4 linked regions of the Drosophila melanogaster genome follow. The protein of the gene in region 4 binds, or shares a complex with, the protein of the main gene of each other region. Each region holds a gene or a part of one and is shown on either strand. Other genes may lie near its edges.

Region 1 (7,470 bases), on a different chromosome or scaffold from region 4:
TTGCCAGGCGATGGGCAATCTGTATCACACCAACTGCTTCATCTGCTGCTCCTGCGGACGGGCGCTGCGAGGCAAGGCGTTCTACAATGTGCATGGTCGGGTCTATTGCGAGGAGGATTACATGGTGAGAAGATAGTTGTAGTTGTAGTTTAGTCAGGACTGAAAAATATTGATATTCCCCGTAAAAACTCCTTTTCATTTTGAGAAAACACTTTCCCAACTGTATTGTGTTGTTTGAATTTTATTATATTTATGATTATAAATCGTTATTTTTGGTTACTGACGCAATTACCTTTTCATTTGCTTTGTTATGATTTCAACGCCATTAATTAATAATAATAAGAATTCACTCTTGCAGTACTCGGGCTTCCAGCAGACGGCGGAAAAGTGCGCCATCTGTGGCCATCTGATCATGGAAATGGTTCGTACTGCACCCCATTCGTTTCTATCCCACTCTAATTGGGCAACTTGTACTCACATTGACGTCGCTCTCGCTCTTTCCCTCTTGCAGATCTTGCAGGCCATGGGCAAGTCGTATCATCCGGGCTGCTTCCGGTGCTGTGTGTGCAATGAGTGCTTAGACGGGGTGCCCTTCACCGTGGACGTGGACCACAAGATCTACTGCGTCAACGACTACCATCGAATGTTTGCGCCCAAGTGCGCTAGCTGCGGCAAAGGTGGGTTCACAACTTCATTCCGAATAATACGTCAATGCTAATCTCGCAATCGTCGGCAATTCTCGGCAGGCATCACACCCGTCGAGGGCACCGACGAAACTGTGCGCGTCGTCTCGATGGACAAGGACTTCCACGTGGACTGCTACATCTGCGAGGAGTGCGGCATGCAGCTGACCGATGAGCCGGACAAACGCTGTTACCCGCTGGACGGGCGCCTGCTCTGCCGCGGTTGCCACCTGCAACGTCTGGCGCTGCAATCCTCGCCACACGCTCGTCATCAGGAGCCCGTCTGCGCTTCGTACCAGTATATGGGATAAGCGGAACGGAGTGTGGCTGGGAGAGGCGGCGCGGCGCAGACCGACCTTCCGACCTTCGACTGAGTGGCGCACAAAACCAGAACAAACTATCGCAATCAACTTATTCCAATTAACAATATTATCTTAAATAGACAGAAGTGAAAACAAATGCATTTATACGAAACGAGGGCCAAGCTAATGGCTTTTTTTTTTCTTCATTTTTATGGCAGTGTACTAGGATCTCGAAACGGATCTGTTAGAAACTATGTAATGGATTCCTAAAATCTCCGACAGTTGGCAGCCATTGTTGGCAATACTATTTTGATACAAGTATATTGATGTGTTCTTCATATGTATGTCCTGGGGTGTTCCTGAGACCTCTTGAGGTTTCAATGCAATAGCAAACGGTGTCTCAAATTATGCAATAAAATACTTAATACTTCTTATCTGAAAGTCTTTTGTGGATATTCCAGTGGGTTAGTGGCTTGTTGTGATACATACCATACATTCGGTTATTAAGTAGCGAAAATGCAAAATTTTAATTGTTTGCCTAAACCGTGAGTAATTAACATATACGTGTGACATTTTGAATTTTGTTTAGTTTTCTTATAACACATACATACAAAATATTTTCTTTTAAATTTTTCGAATGCTTAATGCTTTAAATGCGTTGCGCTTAACAGAAAAATTCCAATAAAATTATTGGAAAGAAAAAAATATAATCATCAATAAAATTTTAAACGAACTGAATGAAATGCATATAAACGATAACTAGGTATTAATCTGGCTAATGTTAGTGCATAAGGATCTCCAGCTGGACGAGCCGCTGGTTGGTGGTCGATGGCATTCGGTATGGAACGCTGGCAGCCATGTTGGTGAATGCCTTGGCCCTGTCTCGCAAATGTTTCACGGCGGGCTCCTTATTGACGCACTTGCTTTCATCAAAGAAACCGGAAGCTGTTTCATTCGAGTCCATTAGCTTCACATACTCCTGGTATACAATGTCCATGGACGCCAGCAGGATATCGGGCAGCACTTTAATGACCTCGGGACCCATCCGCTTTATGTTCGTCACACACTCGTCCACTTCCAATGAGCTGGCGGGTATCAGATGATTGTTGGTCAGGATTTCTAATGCCGAACGCAATGCGCCTTCGTGATAGTGGTCAAAGAACTTCATGACCTTTGTCAGCACCGTATATGTGACAACAACTTGAACCTCTACGTCCGATTTACGCACGACCAGCGCCGCATCTAGTCGATTGATAATATCGCCCAGCCGGTTACGCACGCTTCCATTCTGCGTTGGTTGGTGGACCACCTGTGCCAGTAGCGAGTTCACCAAACGCAGTGCCTTGTCCAGCTGGCCACCAATAAAGTAGAGCTCGATGGCCAATTCGTAGTCGCCGCGTTTCGACAACTCATCGCCCACCATTTCGGCCAGAGAGTACTTATCGCATTCATGAATTTGAAATTCCGCATATATGCCGCTAAATAAAGGGGAATGAATAAACCATTAGCTATTTGCCAAAAGGATTTTGAAATCTTTTAAGAGTACCAAAAACGTAACATACCCATAGCGCAAGCCGTTTTTCTTATCCTCCGTCCCGAAAATCAGCTCTAGCATTTCGTCGTCGCATTTCTCAACTAGCAGATCGCAGACGCAGGTGAGCATCACGTTGCCGCGTCCGTTCTCGGATTTAAAGTTGCGCAACAGGTAATAGTAATGCAGCGCCTGCGTGGTGTCCGTTCTCTCAAAGCACTTGGTGTACATGACGATCAGACGCACAAGATTGAGTCGTTTCATTGGTTTTGGGTCGTCAGGGTCGGAGCTCAGAAGGGATTGTTCCACGGAACGTGGTGTTCCCAGCATGGATATCTCGTTTAGGGCAATGGCCATGTGGATAGCGTGCGTTCGATTTTTCTCGGTGCGGGCGAGGAATTCAATGGCGGCCTCAAATTGGCCGGTAAGCGTCAGCACCTGGAAGTATAGCGCCGCCTTCTCGCGCGCATTGAAGTAGTTCTCGCCGTACTTTTCTAAAATGAGCGATTGCAGGCCGCTGAACGTTAGCTGCTCCGTGTTGCTGTCGCTTTGGTCCGACCTGCGCAGAATGGACAGTTGCATCCACAGGAAGTCGTCGATGCTGCGCATTAGTTCTACGTGAGTGAAGTGCGGATCACACGCCAACAATACGACGTATACCTAATGGAAAAGAGAAAAACATATGATTAGCACGAATATACGCAACAAGTTGTAGCAAAAGATGAGCACTCACCGCCTTTTTGTAGGGATCCGTACAGGCGCGCAGTCTACTGTTGTACTCCAACTTTAGCTGACCCTCAAGCTTTACCATCAAGTTGTCCCTATCGCCGTTCTTTCGCAACGTCAATAGCGTAAGCAGGTCGGGGCAGGTTCCCGATTCCTTGAGATACAACGCAGCCGCGTCCATATCGCCACTCCGCAAGCTATAGTAAACATGTGGCCACAATGGCTGGCCATTGTTCACGTCATGCAGCCCGTAGAGGGCTCGCTGCCCCTGGAGAGTAACGCCCACATAGGAGCGGACCATATGGTACACGCTGGGGATTCCTCCCCGCCGCGCTTTGGCCAAATTCGCGACGATAAACTTTCTCATATACGTCCTATATCTGCGCTCCAAGTACGTGCGGGCCTGCTCAACGAATTGCGGTGATGTCTGACGATTCTTGATTGGATCGATGGTGCTCGAGACTGGCGGCAACGCGGTCATAAACTGCAATACATTCCACATCTCGGCTACGGACTCATCGTTGAAGGAGTCTTGGACCACGTGGGCAAGGGTCGACAGCAAGTTAGGGCGTCTGCCCAGGATGATCGACTGGTTGTGGATGGCGATCTGTTCAGCGTACATCTGCTCATGGCCATTCAGTTGGGAGTACGGAGTGGGCTCATCAGCCATGGCCGTGGGCACTATCTGAAACTGGACGTCGGGGAAGTCCTGTTGGTTTGGTCCGACCAGAGCGTTTAGCAGCGCTTCCTTCTCCTCGCCCCACTCCGAGTAGATGCAACGCCACTTCTGTCGCTCCACAGATTTAAATATCTGCAATGGATTGGTTAATGGAGATAGAAAGTTCAGAATTTTGGGTGTCTGCCTGAAGCATGTCATTTGGCGCACTCACACTGCGATTCGTCTCATCGATAACTGAGAGTATGGCGTTCTCCCGCTCGTTCTTCAGATAGGCCTGCACATTGGTCTCCGTCACCGGATCAATCGGCTCGAAGGTTTGGCGGGCGCTGAGCGACTCCAGCTTCTGTGTAAGCTTGGGCAGGTCCACGCCCTTAGAGCCGAGCAGTATGTGGCTGCATTTGAATGACCGGTTAATATGACAATTTTTGGCGCCTGGCCTATAGCGAACTACTCACGCCTGCAGATCATTGGTGCCCATTTGGGTGACACGCGAGTGAAACTCCTTGGTTGCCTGCAGAACCTGGGACATGGTCCGTTCCACGCCCGGCACCTCCGTGTCCGTATTGGTCTCGTTCGTCAGGCGCTGGGCCTGCTTCAGCAGTTCCATCAGATCCATGTCGTGATATTGGGATGGAAAAGCCGGTGCCAATAAAATGATATTTCCAACGAAGCGCACACCAAGCTGCTAGTGCTGCCACCTGGTCGCAGTCCGGATTATTTCGGCGCCATAAAATGTTTGCAATCGGTGGTATTCTTTTTGGTATATTTAATAGTACAACTGTTATATGTTAGAATAACTATAATAATGTCTACAGATGGTATATAATTTAAAAGGAATATTTGATAATTAAAATCATTAAATTGAAAAATTTATATAGATAGCAGACTAAGAAATTATTTCTCAATACCTAAAAGTTGTTATAAAAACAAAGAAAATAGTCGATTTCCCCGAACGCGAAATTTCAAAATTTTTATGGAATATCGATATATTGGGGAATAAATTGAGAACAAATGGGAGTTTTGTAGGTATAAGGTATTTTTGGTATTACGCAATCTGTTATTGAAATGTCCCAATAACAACTGTTATTGAGAGGGAGTTGTAAGTACAACTTTAAAAACATTTGGTATTAGCTTGGTATTTATAGGCCGGCCGAAAGGCAGGACCGTCTGGTAACACTGAACAGCAGGCGTTAGTGTATTTCGCGCAGTGCAGATTGGTTTATTCAGCGGCTAACCAATTCAATCGTGAATAGACTTTAGCAGCGCGCAAATCGTAGAACAGAACGGCATATTTTTTTTAAACACTGCGAGGCGAGCTTCTTCTTCCCTCCGTCTCTCTGTGTGTGTGTGAGTGTGCTGCCTGTGTGTGTTACAGCTTGTGTACGTGAGTGTGTGTATTGGCAAAGGAAATTAGCACAACAAAAGCGAAAAGGAAACGAACACGCACGCACCTCGTCACGCGGATAAAGAAAAAAACTCTTCGATCTGATCAGAGATATCGAGAATAAACGATAAAAATAATAACAATATCGCAATGTCGGAAGTTGAATCGCAGCAGAGCCAGGAGACGAACGGCAGCAGTAAATTCGATGTGCCCGAGATAGAATTGATCATAAAGGTGAGCGAACAGCGACATTTGCATACCCCTGCAGTTTTCCATTTCGCTCTGCGCAAATTTCCGTGCAGAGTGAAAATGCAGCCGGGGCAAAAGCAGAAGCAAATGCAAACAAAGGCAAAAACAAGAAGCGACTGGGAAAACGCGAACTGCCGTTTGTTTCTCCTCCTCCTCCCTCTTTTCGGCTTCTTACCCCTGTTCGTTCTTCGTTGTCTTCTTCTTCTTCTTCTCACTGTGGCACTTTGCAGTGTGTCACATTTGGTTAAAACGAACAGAATACGTTTAGCACACACCGCCCCCTCCCCTCTCGCCGACGTTCCCCTTTCGCCTTGCGGTTCCTAAGCATCGCCAAAACCGGTTTTCTCCTTTTCTCCCTATCGCACATTCACACACACATACACACACACATACACACACACGCACGCACACTATCGCATACACATGCATTCGGGCACATCTGCACAGAACGAAATTGTTGATTGAGTTATGATTTTCAGAACTCCATGATTACCATTATAAAGCATCCAAATTAAATATTACAGCATACCTTTTTGGTGCAATACTCTAAAGCCGCCCTTTTTCCAAATTATCCGAGCATACCAAGCTGTTCATATGAAATATCTTTTTAATATTTTATAATTAACAATTAATCATGATATTGCTGTGTGCGCACAGTCTGAAATTTGTGGAACGTAACATATTACTTCGGTTCTTATCTGCTAAAAAATTTAATCACATTTCATTGCGCCAATTGCTCAACAAATGCTCCTTCATCATAGTTCTCCTAAGCCCCCCGCATCGCCCCCCTTCGCAACCATCAGCATGTTTCTCTCTGTGTGTGTGTGTGTGAATTAGAGGTTCTTTTTTATCTTTTAGTGATTTCTAAATTTCTTGACACATACGTCATGCTCCTCCAAAGAATCGAAGAAAACAAAAAGCTAGCACTCCGCACATTTGCGGTCAAGATAATAGCATTGAGAAGCCAAGATTCCTAAAGTGTGATTAATTAAATGAATTTAAATCATAGAACTTAACTTTAGATTGCTCAATATGTAGTGTTTTATTTCTTTATGTATTACAAATAATCGATAATAAAAACTTGTTCGATTTTTTCTCCTCGAATACAACGCTTTTCTTATCAGTTCTGTTCTTCGATAGTGGAAAAAAAAACATGTGATAAAACAATTGTTCATTGGCATCTTTCTTAAAGGTGATATTATTGCAAAATGAGTCAAAGAAAGATTACGAACCCTTTGGTTTTTTTTTTTGTATTATAGTAGAGGCCGCAATCTATTTCTTTCCCCGGAATTGTAAGTCGAGCATGAGTCCACTTAATTTTGTTTCTTTTGTTGGTTCCCACTGTTTGCCGAAGTAATTGTAATTGTTTTCGGAACACTTTGGAGCCCTGCTGTTGTTGATTCTATTGGCAAACTCGACTCGACTCAACTTGGCCACTCATCCAGCCCACGCAAATGGAGACCGCACCTCGAGTCGTCTGCCCATGAGTAATTTCCCTCACCTTTGCATTGCCTAAACCCAAACAGTACAATATACCATGTGTTATACCATTCGATTCCCGAAAGAAAAAGAAAAAAAAAACCCCACTCGACGCTAAACAACTGACATGAGCAATCGTGTACTTCGAATAGGGTTTCGTAACCAGTTTTGTTTCCAAATTAAACAGCAATACGATATGTAATGGCTGAAATTAGTAGCTATATTCTATTCATATCGTATGATCGTAAGTTTTTGGTCCTAACACTTTCGAAACCCATCCCCCATTTCCCCCTTAAACCCAATGATCCATGGCCCGCTCCCTTTTCCTGTTTTCGTGGGAGAAAGTGCTTGGGAGCACCTGTTTCCTTTCATTTCTTTTTTTTTTTTCTCTAATTTTTGCCTGAATTTTTGGCCAGTTAAAAGCAATAGTTAAACTG
Region 2 (6,753 bases), on a different chromosome or scaffold from region 4:
ATGGGACTCCCGTATGGTCCCTGCAGAAAGCGCTCTTGGGCGGATGGCGTGTTTGGCATCCCGTTGTAGAAGCCAGAAGTATATGGATTTGGTACGACTGGGTGTATTGCACCTTGGTTGTGGCTCTGCTGCTGCTGATGCTGTTGCTGCTGCTGATGCTCCGCAAGTGCATCCTCAATTATGAAGAGGTCGTCCAGGCCTAAGGCAGCTGCGGGATCGACATCTCGTGTAGGCGTGTCTCGACTGCTGATCTTGATCTTCTTAAGCAGATCCTCCAGGCCAGTGAACTTCTCAGTAAGAACTTTGATATCCTGCCGCATGGCTTCCATTCCCACACTCACATCGTCCTTGAGCACACACAGTGACTTGCTGATCTGCTTGACAGCCTGCTCCATTTCCTGACTCGGTTGTGCCATAACAATGGGAGTGACTGGGGTGACTTCTAACTGACGACGTGATCGATTGGCAGAGAAGGCTGCATGGGAATAGAAATCATCTTCTGCGTCCTCGTAGGCGGATGAATTGTTATGAACATCCGGACTGCCGAAGCTATTATCGATACCCCGACTATTGCGGTCCTGTTGATGTCTATGCATGGCCGCTATGAGTGGGTGCTTATCATCATTTTTGATTAACTTTTGCGTTTTCTGCAGGCATTCACGTCTTCGCTCTGAGTAACGATCTCGGGAAGTTCGAGGCAGCTTGGAAGATTCCTCAAGATGATGACACGCCTCCGATTGCAAAAAGTAGGCCATGGGCAGATGAAGTCCCCGGACCTCGTCCAAAAACTGCTCATACTGTCCAATCCTAAACATTTTCTCGCTAAAATAGGTGACGGCTTCCTCAGCCAACGACTGAAGATCTTGCCATGCTGCCGTTGAGCCGGCGGATCCGTACTTAAAGACGCGGACATAGGATTCCATCTGCTGGTTGTGTTGGTGGCGTAAAATTGAAAATCCTTGCCTGTACAGGGTATCGATACGCGCTTCTAGAGAAGAACGATCCGATCGGGAATTTAAAATCTTTCCCAATTGAAAAATGATGATGGCATCTGCTTTTGGGCCATTAACGCCGCGCACCGCTTCCAATCCATGTTGTAGTTGAGCTCGTTGCTCGGCGCGATTGCCTTCAGTGATAAGCTGGTTCGAGTTAAGTCGCACCACCAGATCCCACCAGTTACTTTGCTCCGGTGCGCCTAGTTGACCCACTAGATTGGCAAATGGCATCATATGTGGCCGGGCGGCAGCATTGCGGTTTCCCAAATTGGAGGAGTCATACACCTCACGCTGGATTTGCAATTTACGTCTGGTCTGAATGGTTGTGGCATAAAGGTAGAGGTCCACATCTACCTGGCTGATTGAATCTTGCCCACAGTAGTTTAGATTCTGCTTAACATCCCGTTGGAAACCCTCATAAAAGACCACGCGTGGCGCATCTCCAAGTTTGTTCGGGTCGGTGCCCAGAGCCAGGTAGACATGTTGGGCTAAGGAGTGTGGCGGCAGCACCAACGCTTGCAGTTCGTAGTTCTCGATATGCGCCAGATTCGGCCACTCAAAAAGAGGCAGCTGCAGACGCAGGTTCCGCACCAGATGCGAAGACGTATCCTTTAGCTTGTGTTCGGCGTGGGTAAAGAGCTGTTGGTAAATTTGACTTCGCCAGCTCTTGTCCAAGCATTGCTGGTGAGCGCTGGCCAACAGCTCTTCGGAGTCGGCAAATAATCCCGGCATAGAATTTCCCGAATTCTTATTCTCATCAAACTCGGCATTTTCTCTATCGTTTTTAATTTCCATTTGTGACCGGTCCAAGCAGCCCAAAAGGGTTCGTCCAAGCTGGGCACATCGAAAGGCGCCCTGAGGGCGCCACATCTGTATCAACTGCTTCTGTTCCGCGTCGCAGTGTTTTATCCATTGGTTGGTACTCGAATCATCGATCGGTCGCACCTGGTAACCAAGGAGCAGAAGTGGCAAAGCGGAGCGAAGCGTGCTCATCCATTTGTTTTTGTTTGCCAGAACCTCACGTTTGAAAATCAGTGTCACCGCGTGAAGCAGAAGCTGGCCGGTAAAGTGGTCAATACAAGCCTGGTGGAGATCCCGCTGCGGAGCGTCCCCTGACCTCTCTATCGAAGTGCTAAACTTGAATAGATATTGATCAAGTCTGAACAACTGCTTGCTGCTGTCTGCCAGTCCACTGCCCTCCAGGCTTAGCTGCACGAGACGATCGAGAGTGTGCAAGGCGAAGTGCCAAAATCGCCAGTTCTTCTTTACATCCTTGGCCATTTCTATCTTGAAAAGGACCATCCAGATCTGCTCGTACCATTCGTTCGACTGGCTCGTGCAGTTTTTCGACTCCAGTTCCGTTTTTAGAGCATAGTTGAAGGCCTGGTCTATTTTCATTTTTTCAACATAGCTGCGCAGCAGTTGTATGCGTATATTAACATCCTGGGGACGCGCCTGCAGCTCCTTGTACATAAGAATCTCGAGGGTATTTTGCTCGCCGTCTCCGCCACTGGTGTCATCTCTTTCGCCGTTACTGTCCGCAAGATTTACACGCATTCGCAGGTTGAAGACTTGCTTGTTGCCGCTTAAATCAAGGCTATTAGCCTGATCCAACCAGTACCTGGCGCACTCCGTGATCGATGCGTTGTTCTCCTTCACCAGAAGTTCGCAGGCGTCAATGACAACCTCTGACTGACGCGGATCAATTTGAATAGAACGTTGGTAGTGCTGCAGGGCCTCTGTCACATCGGGCGGGTTCAGCCTACTGTAGCAAGTGGCAATCATGTTATGGCCTACAGCGTCGTCCCTCACCCGGAGATAGCCGTTCAAATACTCGATGGCTTTTGGGTATTCCTGAACTTTCATGTACAATCGAGCTACAGCCAAGCCTTTGATATCGCGCTACAATATACATTTTATTGATTAGTACGTTAGGTTCAAAAAAGTCTGTTAAATTTTTAGACAATCACTGTGAGCTGGATAAGAATAACTTTGTAAGATTTGACTTATTGTGTGCTTATTATTTAGATAGAGCTACGTTAGACCGCAAAAAATCATTCAAATCCACAATGGAAATTCGAATTATTTTTGGCGGTCTTACAAATTCAGCGCTCACTCTAGCAGATTGATATGGTACACATAACCTCAAATATCTAATTTGATTTATACAGAGAAGGCGAAAGCCATGCAGCTGCGAAAAAAGCGTTCTATTTGTCAAGTATATGAAATGCAGCCGTTGAAAGAAAAGCGCGCAATTTCTTATTCAATCTCAAAAACGACGGCCAAGTGACGCCGACTCACACACACAAACACAAGCAGACGCCGCACGCACACAACGGTGTGCTTTCAATGGCGGCGCCTGAAGATTTCGCAATGATTTTCTTTTTGGAAATTCCGATGCACACTTTGGCCGTTTATTTACCTCTCTTCCCGGCTGAAGTTTTCCCAACATTTTGTGGACGTGTGCGTCCACTTCTTTTCGCGTTGTAAACATATCTGTACTTTTTTAAACACGTCCAATTTGCAGTGGACGAGACCTTGCAAAAATGTGCTTCGCGTTAGATTCTTCTTCACTCGTCATCCGATTGAAGCAGATTCCTCGAACGGTTAATTGCCCCGGCCGGAAAATCACGTAGATTCGGATGGGCAATTCCAGTCGCAACAAACTGCACTCGTTTGCGGTGTAGATTGGAACGTAAATATCACTAAATTCCAATTAAAACTTAAGCTGAACAGCACGGAAACCAAAAAATTTGTGCAAACTTAGTGCTGGAACAAAAAACGATGACTACGCGTTTTCATCGATGGGCGCGAATATATCGCGTCACCGATGTTTTAATGACTATAGCAACTATCGATTGCTACGATTTTTTTTCGAACAAACAAATAAGTATAAGGGATTTAATAAATAAATTAAAGAAGGTTCAAGAATAATATAAAACTTATGATAGTTTAACGAAATTATGAAATATAAATATAGAAATAGAGTGTAGATCATTGATATTCTTCTGATAAATCTTTTTTATATCATATTTTTTATATTCTTTTATTTATTATTCATACAATTTTATATAAATTACTTCATTTGCACTTTCCAGAAGAGCAGTTTCCTATCGGAAACCGCACTAATGTACGGCAATCGCTGGTGCCAGGCCATTCCCCCATAGGATTTCAGGGAGGCCTCCAGCAGAGGAACGGTCGACTTGGCCGCGAACACTTTGAGAGTCAGCCCGATGACCATGGCGATAACCATCTCGGAGCTGCCTGGCGCGAAGCGCACCACCCGGCCGCAATCCTCGTGGACCTGCTTGACATCCGCGGGCACATAGGGTCGGTTCAGGTCCCAGGTAACCACATCTCCGCCGGCCAGCGAGGTGATGAAGAGCCGGTTGCTGTGGGCCCAGTCCGCCGACATCAGGGGGAATTTGGGCGACTCCACGGAGATGACTGTCTGCTTGAGCGTCACATTGTATAGATGAATGATGCCTGCAAGGAGTTTCCTTAGTTACACCGCGGGCTAAACACTGGTAATAGCAAGCACACCCTTCTTTTCCGCCACAAGAACCTTGTTGGGATCCTCGGGGTGACTCTTGACGGACATTCCAGCGGAGGACAGGCCAAAGGTTATGACATTCTCCCCGCCGCCTGTCGTCGTCCAGAATCTGCAGGTGAAGTCATCGCTAACGGAGGCCAGCAGTTCGCCGTCGCAAACCCAGGATACATCGTTGACGTAGTCCCCATGCCCACGGAGCACCTGGAGCGAGGTGAACTGGCCCAGATCGGTGCGGTATAGTTTAAGCTGGCTGCCGTTGGCCGCGCACAAAGTCACATTGTTGGGCGTGCAGTTGAGCGAGGTGTCCGGCGAGAAGGCCAGTGCGCTCACGCTCCGCTGCTCCTTTTCGCCCAGGTCCATGTCCTGCAGGCGTGTGTACCCGAACTCGCCGCTCTCCTCCTGCGGATTAAGGGTTAACCATTCAAAATCATTCAACCTTCACTGGTCTTATGCATGGAAACCCACCGGCAGTCCAACGAGCAGCAGACTCAAGTGTTTCCTGAAGGCCACTGCGATTAGGTTGTAGGCAAAGTCATTGGTGCATATATCGTAGCAGTAGATGGCTTCATTAAGCTGGATGCTGTGGTCGGGCTCGATGACAGATCGCATCTTTCTATAAATATTGTTTGTTATTCGCGGGATATATGCAACAATTAGCCGGCGCCAAAAAAATGTTTATTTTAGTATGACCAAAAATCAGTGGAAGAATTTTCCAAGATTTTACACTTTTAAAAAACAGAATACGCAAAGAAATGTTATTCGAAAATATATTCGTTATTATGTTTAATGCTTACATTATTGTGCCTCAAGTTTTAATAAAAATGGCTAGTCTTAAAAAGAAACATAACAATATTTAAGTAGTCATACGTCGGCGAACTTTTTAATGATAGTAATAGTAGTAATGCCTAATATCGACTGTGTAGCGTTTGCTTTTTATAAAATTTATTGCTAATACACGAATAAAGTCAGAATAAATTTTGAACTCAAGCAACACACACTCCAGTATTGGAAAGCGTGAGCAGCAGAGTTGCCATCGCCCAGCTGTTCAGCATTATTTAGTGCATTCTCGGGCAAGTTAAGTTGGCTGCGATTTACCCCACTTCCTTTTCCGTGTTAGCTGTGAAAGAAAAAACATGCCGGTGGGTTCCGAATTGCGTTAAAATTGAATTTAAACACAGAAAACTCAACCGAATGATAACCAAAAACGGCCGCTTATTACCGCCAAAGTGTCCAGTGTAAACGGAGCAAGTGTCGGCCGATAATAACGGCCCTGAAAGACTGTAAAACAAATGTCTGGCCCGCTTCCATTGAATGTGTGCGATACAAGCCACGCATGGCGTGCGCCAGTGAAATTGCAAACAGTTGTGAAATGGCCAAATGAGATTTAAATGGAATCTTGGGACTTACAGGAGGAATTGATTGCACTGTCATGTGAAATCGACGGATATCCTTGCACATAACCTAGAACACGCATTTGCGAATTTATGTTGTTGTTGCCTGGAGTCTGCTCTGCATTTGTTGATACACCGAGAGAAAATGTGCCAATTGTCTGGCTTAGAATCGTCAAGTGGCCTGATAACATTGTATTCAATTCTATTGTTATCTATTTCCCAAATGAATTGTTAATTGAGAACTTAAAGATCAAAGTAGTTATACTTTAAAATATATTTTCAAGTATTTAAATTGGTAGAAAGTTACTTCTTCGTTAATTAATAAAGAATTGGTTTTCCTATTGGATCAAAGTTGGACCAACACGTTTGGCGCCAAAGAAATTTCGACTTATAACTAAGATTTAGAGGATTATCTAGGCTTGAAGTAATCCAACACATTTGGCCGTAATCATATAGTATAATATATACATTAAATGAATTTATACTAATTTTGAAACTATTTTCACCTTGCAGCTAGCAAAAGATCTTCTGCACCCTCTGCCCGCCGAGGAGAAGCGCAAGCACAAGCTGAAGCGCCTGGTCCAGCACCCCAACTCGTACTTCATGGACGTGAAGTGCCCCGGCTGCTACAGGATCACCACCGTCTTCAGCCACGCCCAAGGCGTCGTGGTCTGCGCTGGATGCGCTACCATTTTGTGCCAGCCGACTGGAGGACGCGCCAAGCTGACAGAAGGTATGCTCCAAATGCTCACTGTCCAATGTTCCTTCGCAATTAACCCAAACGATGTCTTTCTTTCAGGCTGCTCCTTCCGCA
Region 3 (9,793 bases), 250 kb from region 4:
AGCATTATCACAATCACTGACTTGGCTAATTGGTTGCCCTAATGACGACGATGGTCTCTCTGATTCACGGATTATCGGATGCCTAACAGGGGTAAACCTTAATGCTCGTACTTGATGTCTTCGTTCACGTTCACGCTGCGTATCCGCTCCGTTGTCTGCACATGCGTCCTCTTTTACCAATCGCTGGGTACTAAAATGCCAAAAGCAGAAAGCTCATAATCAGCTCAACGCTGCCGCAAAAAACGTTGGCGGCGGCAAAAGCAGCGGTGATTACTTCTTTGGTTGTGAGTAAGCATAAATAGCCGCTCTCTCTCTCTCCCTGTTTCTGTGGGACTGAGTTTCATGGCGGGGGAGACACTACCACTTCCAATGGTGGTAGTTCTCTCAGAAAAGAGACGGTGATGACGTTGCTGGGGGCTCGTCTAACCCAGTGACGTCATTAGCACAACTGTGCAAATTATTTTTCTACACTGGGAATCATGGAATTGACTTTATTACATGAAAAGATATTTGTTCAATTAGCTTTTTTTTTTTTATTAAAAATGGATCTATATGTGTTAACAAAAAATAGTCGCACTGTTTTATTTAATGTCTACATACTTTATTTAGAAATCCATGAATTACTTTACAACCGAAGGGCTAGCAGCTCAGTCGCAATGGGGCATTACATTAAAGAGGGCCGACATCAACTGAAGGTAGTCCTCCTCCACCACTTGAACCTGCGACAATTCACAATACCCAGGCTCAGTGGGCGGGGGAAAGTATTGCAGTTCGATGGCGGCCAGTTCGTCCTCCAAGAACGCGTCGCCCGCCTGTTGAGCGGGATACAAACGCTTTCGGCCATCCAAGCTCGTCGTCATGGCTGCACCTTGAGCTGCCGCAATGGGACTCAGATCGCTGCTCATGTCAAAGTTTTGCGGTGGAGGAGTTCGCTGCTGTTGCTGCAGATGCAGTCTGCGTACGACATTAACTCGCAGTTCGTTATTTGTGTTGCTGCGGCGCACAATTTCTGAGCTGCGGGAAGAACTGCTTGAACTCCTCACTGGGTCCACGCACTTCAGCTTACAGAGCCCGTGTTTTCGTCGTAGCCAGGGACTACGGTTCTCTTTGTAGTCTAATATCACCTTGCGGCGCACGAACTCGTTGAAGATTAACAACTCGTTGCTGATGTCCCGACGCACGATTTGCTTCCAGAGCGTTTCGAGGTTCGGTGAGCGAATTATACAGATGGCTTGCGAAGCGACCAGCATGAGCAGATGCTCCAATGCAAGCAAACAAAGCTGGCCGTCCATGTTGGAGAGCAGCTCACTGGCTGGACAGGTTCCGGTTGAAATCGAGACATTGGACAGAGGCTTGGAGAAGGTGCGGTTGGTTTGGTTGCCTACACAAACTTCTGGATCATCGTTGTCCCCGGAATGCTCAACGTTGGGCAGTGAGTTTAATGGCACCTCACTGAAGCCATGATTTTGCTGATGTTTTGAAAATAATTAGAACAGAATGGACACACTTATAATGCCACATATACATACCATATTCAAGGCCTTTACGTATATGTTTACCAAGTTGAGGACGATTCCAAATGTGAGCGTTAAGTTCTCTTCGTTCAACTTAGGTGCACCAAACTTAACGTCTAGTAAGATTGAGTGTTTGGAGGGCTCATATGCACTGCAGCACAGTAGTTCCATTAAATCCGGACTAAATCTAAGCAAGGCTTTAACGCAAGAAATTATTATATCCGTGAGGCTGTTATAAAATGGAAATATTTAGTCTAGTATAACAACATTATTCAAGTTAACTTACTCATTGCAGGCGGAGATAAGTTCATCGTCAACGATTAGAGCCTCTGTGCTGCGCAGAATTTCTAGCTGGGAGCGTCGACCAGCCAGAAGACACTTTAAGTTTTTTTGCTGGTGAAACAAAGATGAGGTGTGGCACAGCAAACTCTGAACTGCACGCTGTGGATTTCAGTTAAGCGATTAAAATATTATTTAGTTGAACAACTAAAACAGAACCCACCATTAGGTTAGCAAGCGACAGATCGCTGTCTTGCTTCCACTCTTTGTGGTGCTCCGTCAAACTGGCGACTAAGTTAACAGCAGCCTTGATTAAGTACATGGCTGACGGTTCCAAGGATTGTTTGCTCAATAACAATGCATCCTCCAGGAAAACAGCATGAATGCCCACAAATTGAAAAGCATCTTCAAGAAAGCACTTCTTGTGCTTCTCGTAAATGATGGTAACAAGCTCAATACCTCTGGCGTATACAGGCCACCACTGCTCTACGGTCCAACCTTCTGCATCCGCAGCCGTCGTCTTAGTAAACTCGTGTTTTGACTGCAAAAGTTCTCTGGGAGGCAACAGTTTCAGCCACAAGTATTCTCCCACATCGCAATGCAGAAACTCAACTGAACAGTGGCCCTTGGCAAATACAATGAGCACATCCAGCAGCTGCACACTTAGAACTTGTTTGCTAAACAATGGAAGGGTTCTAGACACACAGCGCACGAGCCGTTGAAACAAACGCACCGACACAAATGGCAGATCCCAGTTTCCGGGACCGTCGTTGTGGAATATGGTAGCGACAGCCTTTAGCAAATTCAGGCAGAGAATAAGTGAGTTGGTGGATGTCTTGCTGTCTGAACTGTCCGAATTATTGAGGCCCTGCGATTTCTCCAGGCTCACCGAGTTCTCCATGTGCTGCAGTTCGCTGCAAATGATGCCTACGACTGAGTTGAGAAAACGCAAGGCTATGGACGAGTCCCTGATTAGCAGGTCTGTGTATAGATGTGTGCACTTGGTCACAATGGCCAGGCATGCCTCTTTGGCCCTTACGTGCTGATCCTCATAGCACGCACAGATGCGGTTCATCAGTTGCAACAGTAGGTCCATTAGTGTCTGTTCCTCCTCTAAACTGTCTGTGTACGCGTGCTTAAATTCCAGTAAGATGAATACATACAGTTCAGCCAGTATGATGAACGGCCGCATGTCCTCCAAATAATTTGAGCGATCAACCAGGACAACCAGACACTTCTGCGCCATTAGCTTAAACTGCGACTCGGGTATGGTCACGAACTTTGGCTGTTTCTTTAGCAAAATTACAATAAGATCCTTAAAAGCCTGCAGGCAACAGATCCAGTCGGGCAAATGGTCGGAAGAACTCAAATTTTTTACAGCCGGAACCTTGGGCATGTTAAAGACGTAATTAAGCCAAGGTCCAAAGTTCTTCTGTTCAAAGAACTTATTCATGACGTCAAGCAAAGCGGCATTGTTTCCATTTCCCGTATAGACTTCAATGGATATAATATTTAGAAGCTGAGTGTAGATTCGTAAATTTGGCTGTAGCTCGGAAAAGAGCGGCGAACAGAGTTTTTTCCAAAACTGTTTATCCTTCACTAGATCATCCACTAGCATTTGCAGATTATGTTTCCACATTGAGTGGAAGATGGTCATGATCTTAGCGGGCAAGGCCTGTTGAATGGTTAATGGATCCACTTGAAGGGCGTCCAGAAAGTCTCTCATATAAGTGACAATACTCTCGCCAATATTGGGAACACAATCCTTACTGAAAAATGACCGGGAACGTTTATCAAGGGCATAGTTAACCTTGAAAAATGCCTCGGTAACACCCGGTTGCTTGGCAATGCATGCGTCCACCAGCTCAAGGATGGCTATCTTTATGGAATCACTTTCTAGCTCATCAGGCAACTTCTGCATAAACGTCAATCGGATTTGATCAGCCTCCATGTCCAGACAGGCCAAGAGAGACATATTGAACTGGAGAGCGATTCTTTTCAGCAGGCGGCAAGACAGAATCGGTAGCCATCTATCAAATATGTTGCTCATGTAACTGCATACTGTAGGTATGATCCGCAGAGTATCACGCTGTTTGGGTTGTGTGTATATCAACGCCTCCAGCGGGGAAAGGGTCTCACTGTTTCCATATACCTCTTCTTTAAGGCGCAGTAACTGCATCAGGATACGCATGGATAGACGGACTAACATCATTAAGCCGTGAGGTTGCTGCTGCATCCAATTTGTCTCTAGCTCCATGGTGTACTGGACATAAGCATTGCCCACACCAACAAATCTAAAATATACATTTTATTTAAATTTATTCTTGGTTGGAGTTACGGTAGCTCTTACCTCAAAAGAATCAGACCATTTTCCAAATTTAGAAGGGAATAGACGCACACCTTTACCAAAAGTTCGCGTTGCTTGCAATTAGATTCTTTAGCAGTGTTAAACAAGTCCAGGATGTCGCATATAAAGCTAAGAATCTCGAAGTAGATCTTGTTTCTCTCCACTTGAGAGCTAAAGTGCCAGGTGTGCAAGTGCGGGAAAACATCCTTTAACAGGAATATAAGGCCGGGAATCTCCATCTGGATTTGGCGATTCCGTTTCAGGTTGGAGTACGCTCGCAGGAACCCAATGTATGAAAGCAAGAATTCGTAGCGCTCCCTTTTCTTCTCCACATTATCAATGACGGAGCCTAAAAAGCGCGACTCAAAGCCCACTCCATTGGCATTGGCATACATCTTGAAGTCGTAGTGAGATCCCGGGCTTACTGTTGGCAAGATGTGTAGGTTGCTTATCCGCGAAAAGATTTCCTCGTCTACCAACGGCAGCAGCGCAGTGCAAACATTGAGACAGCTAGACAAAAGTCCAACCGGTGGGTATTGAACGCTTTTGAACGTGTGCAGCAGATCAACGCACATCTCGGTAGGATGCACCATTTCGGCGCTGATGCCGGATATCGATTGACTGAGCTTAACGGCACTTTCCAAAAATCTTAAACCAGCTTCTACATTGCGTATGCGTTCGCTCGATTCAAAGTCACCATGCAGGTGACCCGTCTCGCGTAGCAGGCAGTTAATTTCGTGGTGCAGCGCGTCAAAGTAGTTTACCGGGAAACGAAAGTGCATAAAGCAGCCGGACGGATGTTGGATGGCTGTGCAACTAGTTCCTGCGGGTATGGTAAAATCAATTTGCTGAAATGGTTGCACGCTGGCCAGGAGCTCGAATTCATTTGTGTCCACTTCTCTGAGTTTGTGCTGACTTTCGTCGTAACGAAGAGCCAATATGGGCAAAGCCTCTAGTTGGCTCTTGACCTGCAAGATTGTTAAAATAATTTTAACTGATGCCTTTGAGTGTACAAGTATTGGCTTACATAGTTGCCTTGTCCCGCTTTTGTCAGTGACAGTGCCAGTTTGGACAGATGTGTTAATTCTAGAGGGAAGTTCTCTAAAAGAGTTTTGTACAGCGAACACGGACCATCATCTAGATAAATGTAAAGTTGTTCGTTCTAAACTAATTTTTTCGGTTAAGCTCTTTTGATTATATGATACTGACCTTCCCGACTGCAAAAGTCTTTAGCTAAGTGTGGCCATGAGACAAGTTCGCAGAGCAATTCGTAAATGCCCTCATACCGAGCGCAGCTGCCATCGCCGTCGAAGAGGTCGCACAGATATCCAACCTGGTTGTATATGGTTCTTCGCACAATCCGTGACAGCATAGAGTCATCGGCGTACATAGAATGTCTGGCAATTAGGTGCAGTTGGACAAAACACTTAAGATCCACGGCTCGCTTGCCCAGCTGCCGACAGCGGAGCAAGCTGGAGGCATCGTCGGCATCGTTGGTGCCTCGCAAGCGAAGCAGCATCCACGCTAGGAGCAAAGGGCCATGCTCTGGTCTGTGGTACATGCTGGCAATATCAACCTGCAGATCCTCTATAAGCTTTTCAATTAGATCGGAATGCTTCTCGGGCTTCTCAAAGTCGAGGCACTTTAAAACTAACATTAGCTCTGAGTAAGAAAGGCTTCGAATAATCTCCTGATGGTAAGGTTGGCTGTCATCCAGATAACTTTGCATCTTTCCAAAGGAGTGTTGCTTGCAGGCGGCAAATATTCTCTTTATCTGCTCCAACCCCATGGGCAGGTGTTCCGCTAGCACCAGAAGGATGTGCAGCACCTCGTTGATCTCACGAGCATTTCGCTCCGACCAGGCAACTAAGCGTTCCGCAGAGTGGAAGCATTCTCCCGCCATTAGCTTTCTGGGTGGGACTTCGCAAATAAGGCTCTCCAGTTGGTCTAGGTATGAATCTCTAAGGCGGGGGATGGTTATCTTTTCGACCACGGCGCGATACTCCCGGTGATAGGGATGATTCGGTACCTGGTGAAAGACGATAAGATTCTTAACAATCTTGAGGACAACCATGCGTTCCAGGGAGTAGTAATGCCGTATGTCTTCGTGCAGTTTGGCCATATTCGTTTCGGTAGAGATTAGTTGGGTAAGGAGACTCGCCGATCCACGGTACTCCTGCGTAAGGTAGTAGCAAAGGATTTCCCAGCACTGGGCGGATTCTAGATCCAACAGATCCTGCAGTCGTTCGGTGAAGGGCAGCAGCTTTTCCTGCTTTTTCTCTTTGAGCAACGTGCCCAGCTCGAGGCTGGAGGCATTCTTGGGCTTAAATTGGAGCACTCCAGCCTGCAATTCAGAAGCCACGTTCATCAGCTCCTCACGTACAGTATCCTGCGGCGTCTCATAGTGGATTCCTGAGACCATCGGCCACAGGCGCTTCCAATCGGTGCTACATGGCAAATCGAAGGATTTTATTTAGTCATTCAATATTGTCGCACTGCCGATACTCACATCACGCTCTTTTCCACCGCAGGCATTGTCTAGGCTCTGTCTCTTAACAACTACAATAAAAAATTATTTAATAACAAATGTATTCTGTTCCACGCGCAAATTCGCGGCGTTGGAGTTGCCACCTAGCACAATAAAATGCCGGGACAATCAGCTGGTAACACCGAAGGTGTATCGATAAAACGATAGTTCTTGTTTTAAAAAGCCAGTTAGAAAATTGTGATACAGTACTTTATACATTTTCTTTAGCTTACTAAATCTTACTTAAATCAAGGTATGACATCTTAGATCTGATGATCGCTTATAGATTTATACAAATAAAATATACATGGAAAGCACGTGTGCGCCCCATTATTTATCTATTATTGTAGCATTACAGTTAAATTGGTATATATTTCACGCGAATAGGTTTAGAAACCTATTTTATAGGTTTCAAATATAGACGTTCGCATGTGGCCCTTCAATCATAACTTGACACATGCATTTAGCATTCAGATCTTGATATTTCCCAAATATTTCATAAATAGCCTTCCAATCCAGCCGGACTAGAACTATTTAGGTTAGACTTTCCAATCACATAAAGCCATTCCAGTGAGGCTGTGGCTGCGGCTAACAGACCTGCGAAGTCAGAGTGCAAAGTGCGCAGATGCTGCACTCCGGCGCCCACTGCACCGCCCAGCCACCCAACCACGCCATTCTAGAGGCCCATTTCTTGGAAACTAATACCACTACTCCTCGGCTAGCCGCAGCCTCCCATCTTTTCCAGATCTAAGAGCGAGCGAGAGAGGAGCGGAGAAGGCGCGAGAGAGTAGGCGCACTCGAAGTTCACGTTCACGGCGCCTGGAAGCTGCAGCCCGAAAATTGTCCTGTTAGTACGAGAAAACTATTGACAGGCGAAAGGTCTAAAATTGCTCATATTCTGGCAGAAAAGGCAGATTGGACTTCAAAAGTCTGATAGCCGCAATGGCTCAAGTTCAGCTCAACGCAGGAAATGGGCAAGCCCCTAGCAACGGAAATAATGTCGAGGATAATGAACGTAAGTCTGCCGATTGGCAATTGTGAAATCATAATAGAAAATTGAGTGATTGCCCGGAAAGTGCACAAGTGTTGGTCTGCACAGTCCTAGTGGAAGGACATATGTGCATACCTACGCACATAGTGTGTGTCATGTATCAGGATATATGTAGGTATATATGTATGTATCATAAAGGTGTATGTCAGCAGCAGCTAGCATCTTTGACATAGCTAGGATGCTTTTTGGCCTGGCGTTGGGTGATAACTTAAACGGGAGAGCGAGCATGAGAGCAGGATAACAAAGAGAGAGAAATGTCTGAAAGGATGCTGCGAGAGCGCCAGAGATGCCACTGCTGCCCAAAAGCAACAAGTTTTTGAACTTAAGCTAAATCAGATAAGGCTAGAACTACCTCGATTTCGTTAGTTAATTTCGTAGTGTATAAAGGGGTATCAAATATAATTATTATAATCTGTAAGCTTTTATATTATTCAAAACAAGGACAATAATTAAAGGTAACTTATTTCTTTTATTTCCATAGCCTATCAAATAAGTGACGATGATTTGGATGACCTGGATGATGATTGCTTGCTCGAGGAGGCAGATACCTCAGGGGCAGGCAATAATGTGGGACGTGGTCCTTACGAGCGTGCTTGGACCACAGAGGCCACCAGGGCATTGATTCACATACGCGGTCCCATGGAGGGTAGCTTTACAGAGGGCAGGTGAGCAAGGTTTTTATTCCACCGTAAAGACATCTTTGTAAAAGTAACTCCCTTACAGACAAAAACGGACTGCTCTTTGGCTGCACTGCACCCGGCAACTACAGCGACTGGGATTTCGCTACTCCGCCGCAAAGGTGCAGAAGAAGTGGCATAACATCCTCATCACCTACAACAAGAATCTGAACAAAAAATACGTATCCGGCTATGTGCACTGGGAGTTCTTCGAGGAGATGTTCAAGTATCTGCAGGGCAAGAAGGCTGACTTTGATATGCAGTTGCCACAACAGACTTCAAATGCGCCACAAGCTCCACATTCGGCTAATGGGCAAAACCCGAATCCGGGTATTCCCCAGCAACCTTTACAGCTTCAACCTACTCCGGTGAGCCTAAAGCCGGGAACACCCCAAATGCAGGTGCAACTTCCACCCCAGACTGCGGCCAAGGACAGCCAGCCGTATATTACACCTGTGGATCAGGTCCTGCTGCAGGCCCAGATGAATCTGGACAGCAAGTCCAACGATGAGTTCGATGAGGATAGCAACAGCATGTCGGAGGTAGTCCGTCAACCCAAGATGGAGTACGATGGCGATCAAGTTGCGGAGGCTGAACGTACAAACGATAGCAGCCAACATCTGGAAGTTAATGGCAAGCTCTACGATCTGGCACGACCCATGGGCTCGCACCAAGCTTCTGGCATCCCCGATGACATCTGGTGGAAGGACTACTTTGAAAGAAAACTGGAAGTGGAGCGGGAGAAGATAGAGCTACAACGGAGTTTGCAGCGCGAACAGGTGCAGATCCAAAAAATGTCACTGGTGCAGCAGGAGCGGATTGAGCGCATGAAGATCGATGCCATCAACAGCCTGACGGGCACGCTGCAAAAGTTGGTGGAGGCCAAGTGCCGCCGGGCCTAAGATGAATCTGTTCCCTCCCAGTAAATTTCGATAACTTTAGGCTTCGATTCGTCTGTATCTAGTTGGGTGTGTAAATACAATTTCGGCTAACTAAAACACTCTACGGCTGCCAGTCTATCTCGAAAATGCTAGCCAGGGAGGTCAGCTTTCCGTGGGGTTTCTCCAGACCATAACTTAGGCTCCAGATATCCGTGGTAAAGATCAGACCTTCTCCTGCATTCAGTCGCATCCGCAAGCTTGGACATATTCCTTTATTGCAGGGCTTCTTTGGATGGAGAACCATCTCAAAGTGGCCACTCAGTTGCTGGATGAGCACTAGGCCACGCACGTATATATCGGCTTGGTTTCGCTTTTGCTGATGGACTGCCAATAGCCAGCTGGAGTAATACGGGGCCAGGTGAAGTGGGTAGTAGTAGGGACGATCCAGAAAAAGCCGAGAGGACTTCACCGCCTTCTTCTGGCAGTTCCTCAGTTGAAGGTGCCAAGAATTCGATGT
Region 4 (6,999 bases):
GCTGCTGCCGAGACCTTCTGCAAGGAGCTGCGGAAGAAGTAGGAGGAGGCCAACTGGTCGAATCCGTATTCTGGACTTTACTCACTCTAAGTGCATTTATTGTAGCTTTTTTATACAACTGACTAAAACCTATAGCAAAAAAAACCGCATCTATGTTCGACGTTCTTCCTGGACGGGAGACTTGAAGTTAAAGGCTAACTGCGCAGGAGCCGCCATCAAATCTTCCTCGGCCTGCTCTTCGCCATGCTGCAAGAGCTCTGTGGGCGCAGCTGGCTCCTTGTGGGGCTGATTATCCGGAATCTTTACCTGCATGTCCACCGCAAAGAAGGAGTCGTCGAAGTTTATTCGGTTGCGCTCGTCCTGCTCCAGATACATGGCTTTGGGCGCAGTTGCTCCGCCCATGGCCCTCTCGTAGGTGTTAAGCCACTTGAGATTGAGGTTGATGTGCTTGTTGGCAGCGTTAAACTTCTTTGGCTTCTTTTTTGGCTTTTCCGCGTAGTAGTTGTGCTCCGTCTTTTGCGGCGGAGGAGCAATCTTCTCCAGCATTCGGCTCTTGGCATCCAGCTTGGGCTCCACGAAGTCGTATAGAGGTAAATAGAAGTTATACGGCTGCTCCGTTGGCGGCAGCATTCGCTGCTGCGGCTGCACTTGCTCCTGCACCTGACTACTGGCCTCCGCCATGGCATCTTCCTCTAGAGCCGGACCAAAGATTTCCCCAGCACGCCGCAGCAAATTCTCTAAACGCTCTATGGTGATGATGTGGGGATGGATAAGCTGGACATCGTCGTGCAGCTGTGCCCGCCGAGCTGTCGGTGGTTTGGCCACCACGCTGCAGCAAAAGGCGCACAAAAACAACTGCAAGGATGTGAAAACTTAGTCCGATTTTCGCATTGAGCGGTCAAGCCAAACAACTCACAACCAATAAACCATTCATGTCCAATTTAATTCCCATAGCTCTGAACGTTTCACTTTCAGCTCCTCATATGCAGTGCTCCAATTGAACCACCTTCACTTTCTTAGATCTGAAACGATGTGAGGCCTCCTTGGAGCTGGCCAATTCATTTATACTGGCGCTACATGCTCCAAACGGAAGCTCGGAAGTCTCCGCCATCAATGGCCAACAAAAAACCTGCACGGACCCTGGCTGGCTGGTTGACTGGGAGAAAACTAGTTTCCCACACAAGAAATAAATATGTAACGAGCCAACTAACTAGACTGCACATGTATGCACACGCCAGAGCACATAATAATGTTAATGTAACAACGATGGTGATACCGATGCTGGGAGTTGAACAAACTGGAACTGCCAGAGACGAACCGTTTGCCACTCATAATGAGTCCGAGCGATTGCCTTCTGCCTAGCCGTCGAAATTGGACAATTTCAGACAGTGGCCGAGGAAAAGTCGGGCGGTCCAAGAGCTGTGCGGTGCAAGTGCATTGACCCACACAATTATTTCCGCAGCATTGGCGACGAATGTGTGAACTCGTTTCGATTGTTTCGACTCCATTGCCCGTAAAAGTGCAAGTTCAAAGCTACAGGAAATGCTAAACGACGACATAATGGCAAAAGTGTAACGGCCACAACTTGTTCGTTGTCTCGATCATCGAAAATCACCGGGTTGTGTTACACATATGTGGGTTTTATTCAACGTATCAGCTCATTTCCATTCCTATCACGATTGTCGCAGCTCGGGCAGTCCTTTAATTATAACATCCAGCGCCCTCAGGTCCTTGTTGACGGTATCGCTCAGCACCTCCATGGCGCGCTGCTGCATCGTCAGAAAGGTCTTCATCTCGTCCTCCGCTTCCTTGTCGAGGGCATACTCGGCACCACCGTTGGCTGCGAATTGATTGCGCTGCATGCGCATCTGGGAGAGGAGCTCGCTGAGTCGGCCCTTGAATTGGGTGGGTGCGGAGACGACAGCCAGCATGTTCTGTAGCTTGGTGCGCAAGGCCTCCTCCTCGGGCGTCAGGGAAGTGCCCACCTTGCGGGTGCACTCTTGTTTCACTATTATCTGTGGTTGAAAAATGCGGATTTCTGAATGTAAAAATAAAGTTGGGTATTTAACTAGGTGTCCCTACCCTTAGTATGCGATGACTGAGCTCGGCCAGTTTCCGTTTATGTTCAAGTATCTTCGCTGTGGCAGTGGCATGGCGCTTCTTGAGTTCTGTCAGCTCACTCTCCACCTTCTTTATGTACAATGCATGCGTGTCCGTTTCTTGTTCCTGACACTTAACGCGCCACTTTAAGTCGTTAAAGCCCACCATGGGCACTGGTATATATAAAGTTGGATCTGGATTGTCGGAATTGGCCTGACGCCACATGCGCGGATCCACGCCGCGGGGTGGATTTTCAAGGTACTCCCTCAATTGATCTTCGTCGGGTAATACCAGAGCCAAAGCCTCCACAACACCTAGATTATTGAGCTGTGGTTTCAGCGTCGCCTGATTAAGGTAGTTTGAGAGTTCGGTGGCAAGTATACGCTTGCTTTCGTTGGGAGCATGTTGAAGTTTCTCCTCGACATAAATAACAATTTGGCACTTTTTGTTCTCCAACTCCTTGATGGAATCTATGTGAACAAGCATGTTGGGCTTGCTGCCGAATAAACTGTGAAGCGTTTGAATCACTTGTTGCTGGTGTGGCCTAAAATAAAATGAATTAATACCTATGCCATGATGTAGACAAGCACTAAGACTTACTTGACAGCTGAGAGTTCTCTGCAGAAGTTAAGAGCCACCAGTCCCAACTTGTTATCCTTGCCCGGCATACGACTGTAGCCTATGGCCTTGAACCGGCACATCACGTTCTCCGGCGTAATGTCTACCGGTGCCGCACTCTGGGAGTAAAACATTTTCCCAGTGCCCCACGTAGCCTGCAAGTAGTTCCATTTGGCCACTATTTTGTCCCGTTCATCCCCGAAAATGGATACATTCAGAATGGATTGGGCAAACGCCTCGTCAGCCGATATGGGCGCTGGCTGCTGTTGCGGCTGTCCAAGCATAAAACTGGTGCCTCCGAATCCACCAAATCCCGGCGTAACTGTTGTATTCGCTGGTTTTCCGAACGCTGAAACATAAACCAGGTTAGGAATACCACAGAAAGACAAATGGGCTTATTTAACTTACTGGATCCGAAGGCTCCGCCCCCAAAGCCAGTGGACTGGCTGGTGCCAAAGCCACCAAAAGCAGGTGCCGACGTTGTGGTTGTGCCAAAGCCTGAAAATCCACTTGCTGGCGCTGTACTCGCAGCTGCCTGTTGGCCGAATCCGCTAAAAGCTGGTGGTGCTGCACTAGTCGCTGGAGCGCCGAACAGACCGGCCTGACTTGTTGCCGGAGCTGCTCCAAATCCGCCGAAACCGCCTCCTCCCAAACCCGTGCCCGCAGTTGTGGTTGTCGCCGCACCAAATGCCGGAGTACTGCCAAAGGCGGAGCCGCCAAAGGCAGAAGTTCCTGTGGCGGCTCCAAAAGCCGGGGCTGCAGCGGTTGCTCCAAAGGCGGAACCTGCTCCGAAGGCAGAAGTCGCCGGTTGGGCGCCAAAAGCCGGAGTCGATGTGGCCTGTGCTCCGAAAGCGGGTGCTGGCTGGCTGGTTGCAGCTGTGCCTCCAAACGGCGATCCGAAGAGGCCACCGGTTGCTGAACAAAAGAGATAAGAAGACCAGAAATGGGTCAGTGTTTTGAAAACTATGCTTCTGCCTTGGATTCTTATCTGAGATTTCGGGTTCCAAAATACTACAGAAGCTGCCCTTAGTTTGCTTCAAGCTCTGGTCGCCTGCTGGTCGTGGAAAATGGCTCTGGTTTTTATATTGCTGATCCTCCTGCTAGGTTTTGTGGGATACGTCGCCTATGTGGTCCACAAGAAGGGGTGAGCATCTTTGTCTGGCCACATAAGAACACTGACACCATGTAGCCCGTCCCACATCCAGCATAGATCCCAAAGACATCCGCATCCACAGCCTGCAGGACGCCAAGAAGCTGCTGAAGCCTCCACCAAGTGGAAATGGACCCCACAAATATTTGGAGAAAAGGGCATGAGGTCTTGTTTACGGAAACTCACTTTTGGCCGGCGTGCTTGTTGCTCCCAGCGACGTGTTGGATCCGAAGAACGACATGATGCGGTATTCTCAAGGACGTTACTTTGCCGCACAGTTTGGGTTGCCTTTCCTAGGGGCCGGAATTTGTACAATTCTATTTTATTGTAATAAAATTAGTCTTAATCCTAATAAACGTAAAATTTTGGCGCTTTCTAGCAGTGTTACCAGATTGTAAATGGGCTCTCACCCTTGCTGACAACAACACTTGAATTTCCCTTATTAATTTGGTAACACTGCCGCGCGGTCTAAATTATCGATAGTCTTAGGCCCGACTTTTGATTATTAGTACGCTATAATTTGAAATTTGGCGGCAAGAAAATCAATTCGCCACTTCAATAATCCTGTCAAGTTTTTAATTCTAGTTTACGCCTCCTCTCTAATGTTTGAACTGAATATAATATCCTCCTTTCTGATCATTGCTTTTCTTTTTGATATAGTAACTTCCATGAATGGATACTATTTTTGTTGTTTTCACATTAAACTCTTTCGTGACTCTAATAATTAAACACTCTTTGGGCTTGTTCTTTTCTTTATTGATACACTTATAGCATAGCATAGTATAGATTTTGGTTATCAATAGACATACACCATATACAAATTTCCTTGAAATTATTCCAATTTAATTGCAATAACGTTCAAAATTCATCGCAACCTCTGCTCACCAGATCCAAAGAGATACATTTATATATATCAATTACAAATTCGTGTCGCACATGCGCAAATTTTTTGAAATTTGCTAAAATTAACAGTGAAACTAATAATACGATCCGAGGGTTATAGCCCGATCTATAAACGATCTCGATCTATACAAGTCAATGCCGCGATTATCTTGTTTTGTAGCTTCTTGCTAGTTCGATTGCAACTCGAGATATGATTTAATTTCGAGCTGTGCGTTAAAAACTAGGGTGCAGACATTATTTCTGGTTTAGTGTTTTGGAAGTTAGTGGTCTTCGGATTCAAGTATATCGCTCCTATTTCTGGCTAATTCTATTGTTTTTTTTTTTTTTTAATTTTTATAATTAAATATGTTTGTGTTCGCATATATGCACGTTCTACAACTAGGTTTGTGTTAACAAAAACAAAAAAATTATAACAATTTTGTAAATGGAAATACAATAATAGTTTGCGTTCGTATGAGTGGATGAGTATAATGATTTTTGGGGCAACGGGCCGAAGGATCAAGGAGAAAAGGAAGAAACAATTTAGAAAACATCGACAACAACTCAAGGAGGTAGCGAACAAGCGATCGGTAAGCGCGTTTCTCATACACTTCGATATACGTAGGCGCATATATCTCGATTGGTTGTGAACGTGCTATATATATATGTATGTAACATTTCGATTAGTATGCGCGTGTTTCATAAAGTAGACAAGTATATGTTCTAGTGGCCTCCGGTGTGCTCGCTATCCTGGCTGTCGCTTTCTCAGAAGACGAAGCGGTTGATGTTCATGCCCAGTCCATTGCCTCCACATCCTCCGGGCGGCGGCGGCGCCTTGTCGTCCTCGTCACCATCGCCATCAAAGTTGTGCCGGCTGACAAACGCATTGCCGTGACCGCTGTTGCCACGCTTAAAGCGTTGCATCTTCAACTCTTCGTTGTAAACATGGTTGTCCTTTCTTACGTAGTCGCGAAGTCGGCGTGGCAACTCCTCCAGCTTCAGAGGCGGCGACAGTGGCACCGAGACCACCTGGTCATTTGAGCCCGATACCATACTCGAACTGCAGCTGGCCGTAACCGAATTAGACTCATTGGAGTGGCCGCACATCTTGTAGAACAGGATGTAGGGCGTGTTGGGCGAAGTGAGATTGTGCATCTCCTCCGGCTTGGAGTGGGTAACCACGTTATCGTTGAACTTGTACCAATTCTTGGCTTGATCCGCCGCGAACGTAAAGTAGTGACCGGAATCCATGCTGTACCCGGCGTGAACAACACCCGCATACAGATCATAGTGCACAGTGGACATCTCCTGCAGCGAGTCCTTTGCCGACATTTTTACTGTGACCTAGCGTGCGAAATGGTTAGCTAAACTTGTAGCGGAGAAATTCGCTGCGATACTTACGCTCTCATCGTGGAACACCTTATGCATGAGCTTGGTGCGGAAGTGGTACTTCTGATCGTACTTGAACTGCTTGAGCGTGAGAATAAGGTTCTTCGGTGCCTGGGTGACCCCGATGTGGCGCTCCGCATCGCAAAGCTTCTTGCATTGTGGACAGAAATATTGATTGTCACCGTCCAGCTTCTCGGGCGAGCAGTAGTACTCGATCAGATCCTGCACCGAGTAGTTGGTGGCTCCACAGTCTTCCTTATCATCGGGAAAAGACAGCTGCAGCTCGCGAAAGCTGTCCTCGTTCCGGCTCTCCCAGCCGCAGTTTAAACATCGATAGGTGGTGGAAAGCTTGCCAGCGAACGTCTTGTCAATGGTAGATGGTGGCTTCGCCTGATCAACCTGCTGGCCCTGCTGCTTTAAGCCGTTGGTGGCTTTGGTGGGAGTCGCGGGTGGTGTCGGTGTGGGCTTGTGATTACAATTGTCACTGTTGCTTCCACTGCTGAGCTCGTGATCCTTGCTGTTGTACGGAATAACGCCGCTCGACAATATATCCTCGCTCAGCAGTGCGGGCACGTCGTCCACTTCCCTGCCGGTCTTCGGAGGACCAACACTGTGACCAGTGACTGAGGAGCTGTTGATCTCGTGCTCGTGCAGCAGGTCGAGCAGATATCCTAGGAACTCGGAGCTGTCCTGTTGTAGGCCGGGCGTGAAGCTAGGCGGCCGGGTGGCGTTCAGCACTCGCGAAGGCGTTAGTTCGTAGCGCAGCGAGTGATGCATCAGGGCAATCTGCTGCTGCACTTTCATGAGCAGCACTGAATTGCACTCGATAAGCAGGATTTGCCTGCTAAAACTGCAAATGG

What was found.
Region 1: Nup54 (region 4) and Nup93-1 share a complex: the UniProt entries of both Drosophila melanogaster proteins name them as parts of the nuclear pore complex.
Region 2: Nup54 (region 4) and Nup358 share a complex: the UniProt entries of both Drosophila melanogaster proteins name them as parts of the nuclear pore complex.
Region 3: Nup54 (region 4) and Nup188 share a complex: the UniProt entries of both Drosophila melanogaster proteins name them as parts of the nuclear pore complex.

What each region holds. Positions count from the first base shown.
Region 1 is NC_004354.4:13,819,994-13,827,463, reverse strand, and holds Nup93-1 (nucleoporin 93kD-1), read right to left. Parts: upstream 4,639-7,470; 5' UTR 4,538-4,638; coding exon 4,377-4,537; intron 4,314-4,376; coding exon 4,133-4,313; intron 4,054-4,132; coding exon 3,250-4,053; intron 3,177-3,249; coding exon 2,548-3,176; intron 2,464-2,547; coding exon 1,767-2,463; 3' UTR 1,554-1,766; downstream 1-1,553. Other genes in the region: jub (ajuba LIM protein), read left to right, coding at 1-124, 359-421, 512-677, 747-994; Clic (chloride intracellular channel), read left to right, coding at 5,456-5,539. UniProt on the Drosophila melanogaster protein: Required for nuclear pore complex assembly, maintenance and function. Required for nuclear import of phosphorylated Mad via importin msk. Has no role in classical nuclear localization signal (cNLS)-dependent nuclear import via importin-beta.
Region 2 is NT_033777.3:25,246,367-25,253,119, reverse strand, and holds the start of Nup358 (nucleoporin 358kD), read right to left. Parts: upstream 3,773-6,753; 5' UTR 3,490-3,772; coding exon 3,418-3,489; intron 2,898-3,417; coding exon 1-2,897. Other genes in the region: Nup37 (nucleoporin 37kD), read right to left, coding at 4,072-4,481, 4,539-4,947, 5,014-5,157; RpS27 (ribosomal protein S27), read left to right, coding at 5,682-5,687, 6,453-6,672, 6,739-6,753. UniProt on the Drosophila melanogaster protein: E3 SUMO-protein ligase. Component of the nuclear pore complex (NPC), a complex required for trafficking across the nuclear envelope.
Region 3 is NT_033778.4:12,679,398-12,689,190, forward strand, and holds Nup188 (nucleoporin 188kDa), read right to left. Parts: upstream 6,783-9,793; 5' UTR 6,676-6,782; coding exon 6,650-6,675; intron 6,588-6,649; coding exon 5,350-6,587; intron 5,278-5,349; coding exon 5,168-5,277; intron 5,109-5,167; coding exon 4,144-5,108; intron 4,088-4,143; coding exon 2,017-4,087; intron 1,956-2,016; coding exon 1,801-1,955; intron 1,744-1,800; coding exon 1,530-1,743; intron 1,470-1,529; coding exon 648-1,469; 3' UTR 570-647; downstream 1-569. Other genes in the region: GLS (glutaminase), read right to left, coding at 1-5; CG13148 (uncharacterized protein), read left to right, coding at 7,610-7,682, 8,200-8,383, 8,442-9,297; CG30053 (uncharacterized protein), read right to left, coding at 9,398-9,793. UniProt on the Drosophila melanogaster protein: Component of the nuclear pore complex (NPC), a complex required for the trafficking across the nuclear envelope. Required for proper protein transport into the nucleus.
Region 4 is NT_033778.4:12,426,828-12,433,826, forward strand, and holds Nup54 (nucleoporin 54kD), read right to left. Parts: upstream 4,273-6,999; 5' UTR 4,110-4,272; coding exon 4,055-4,109; exon of another isoform or gene 4,033-4,054; coding exon of another isoform or gene 3,924-4,032; intron 3,863-3,923; coding exon of another isoform or gene 3,786-3,862; exon of another isoform or gene 3,768-3,785; intron 3,634-3,767; coding exon 3,127-3,633; intron 3,068-3,126; coding exon 2,701-3,067; intron 2,645-2,700; coding exon 2,083-2,644; intron 2,016-2,082; coding exon 1,674-2,015; 3' UTR 1,622-1,673; downstream 1-1,621. Other genes in the region: Dera (Deoxyribose-phosphate aldolase), read left to right, coding at 1-42; CG13154 (uncharacterized protein), read right to left, coding at 151-855, 917-952; CG43204 (uncharacterized protein), read left to right, coding at 3,786-3,862, 3,924-4,032; DUBAI (deubiquitinating apoptotic inhibitor), read right to left, coding at 5,516-6,094, 6,152-6,989. UniProt on the Drosophila melanogaster protein: Component of the nuclear pore complex (NPC), a complex required for the trafficking across the nuclear envelope. Essential for the nuclear import of nuclear localization signal (NLS)-containing proteins in an importin alpha/importin beta-dependent manner.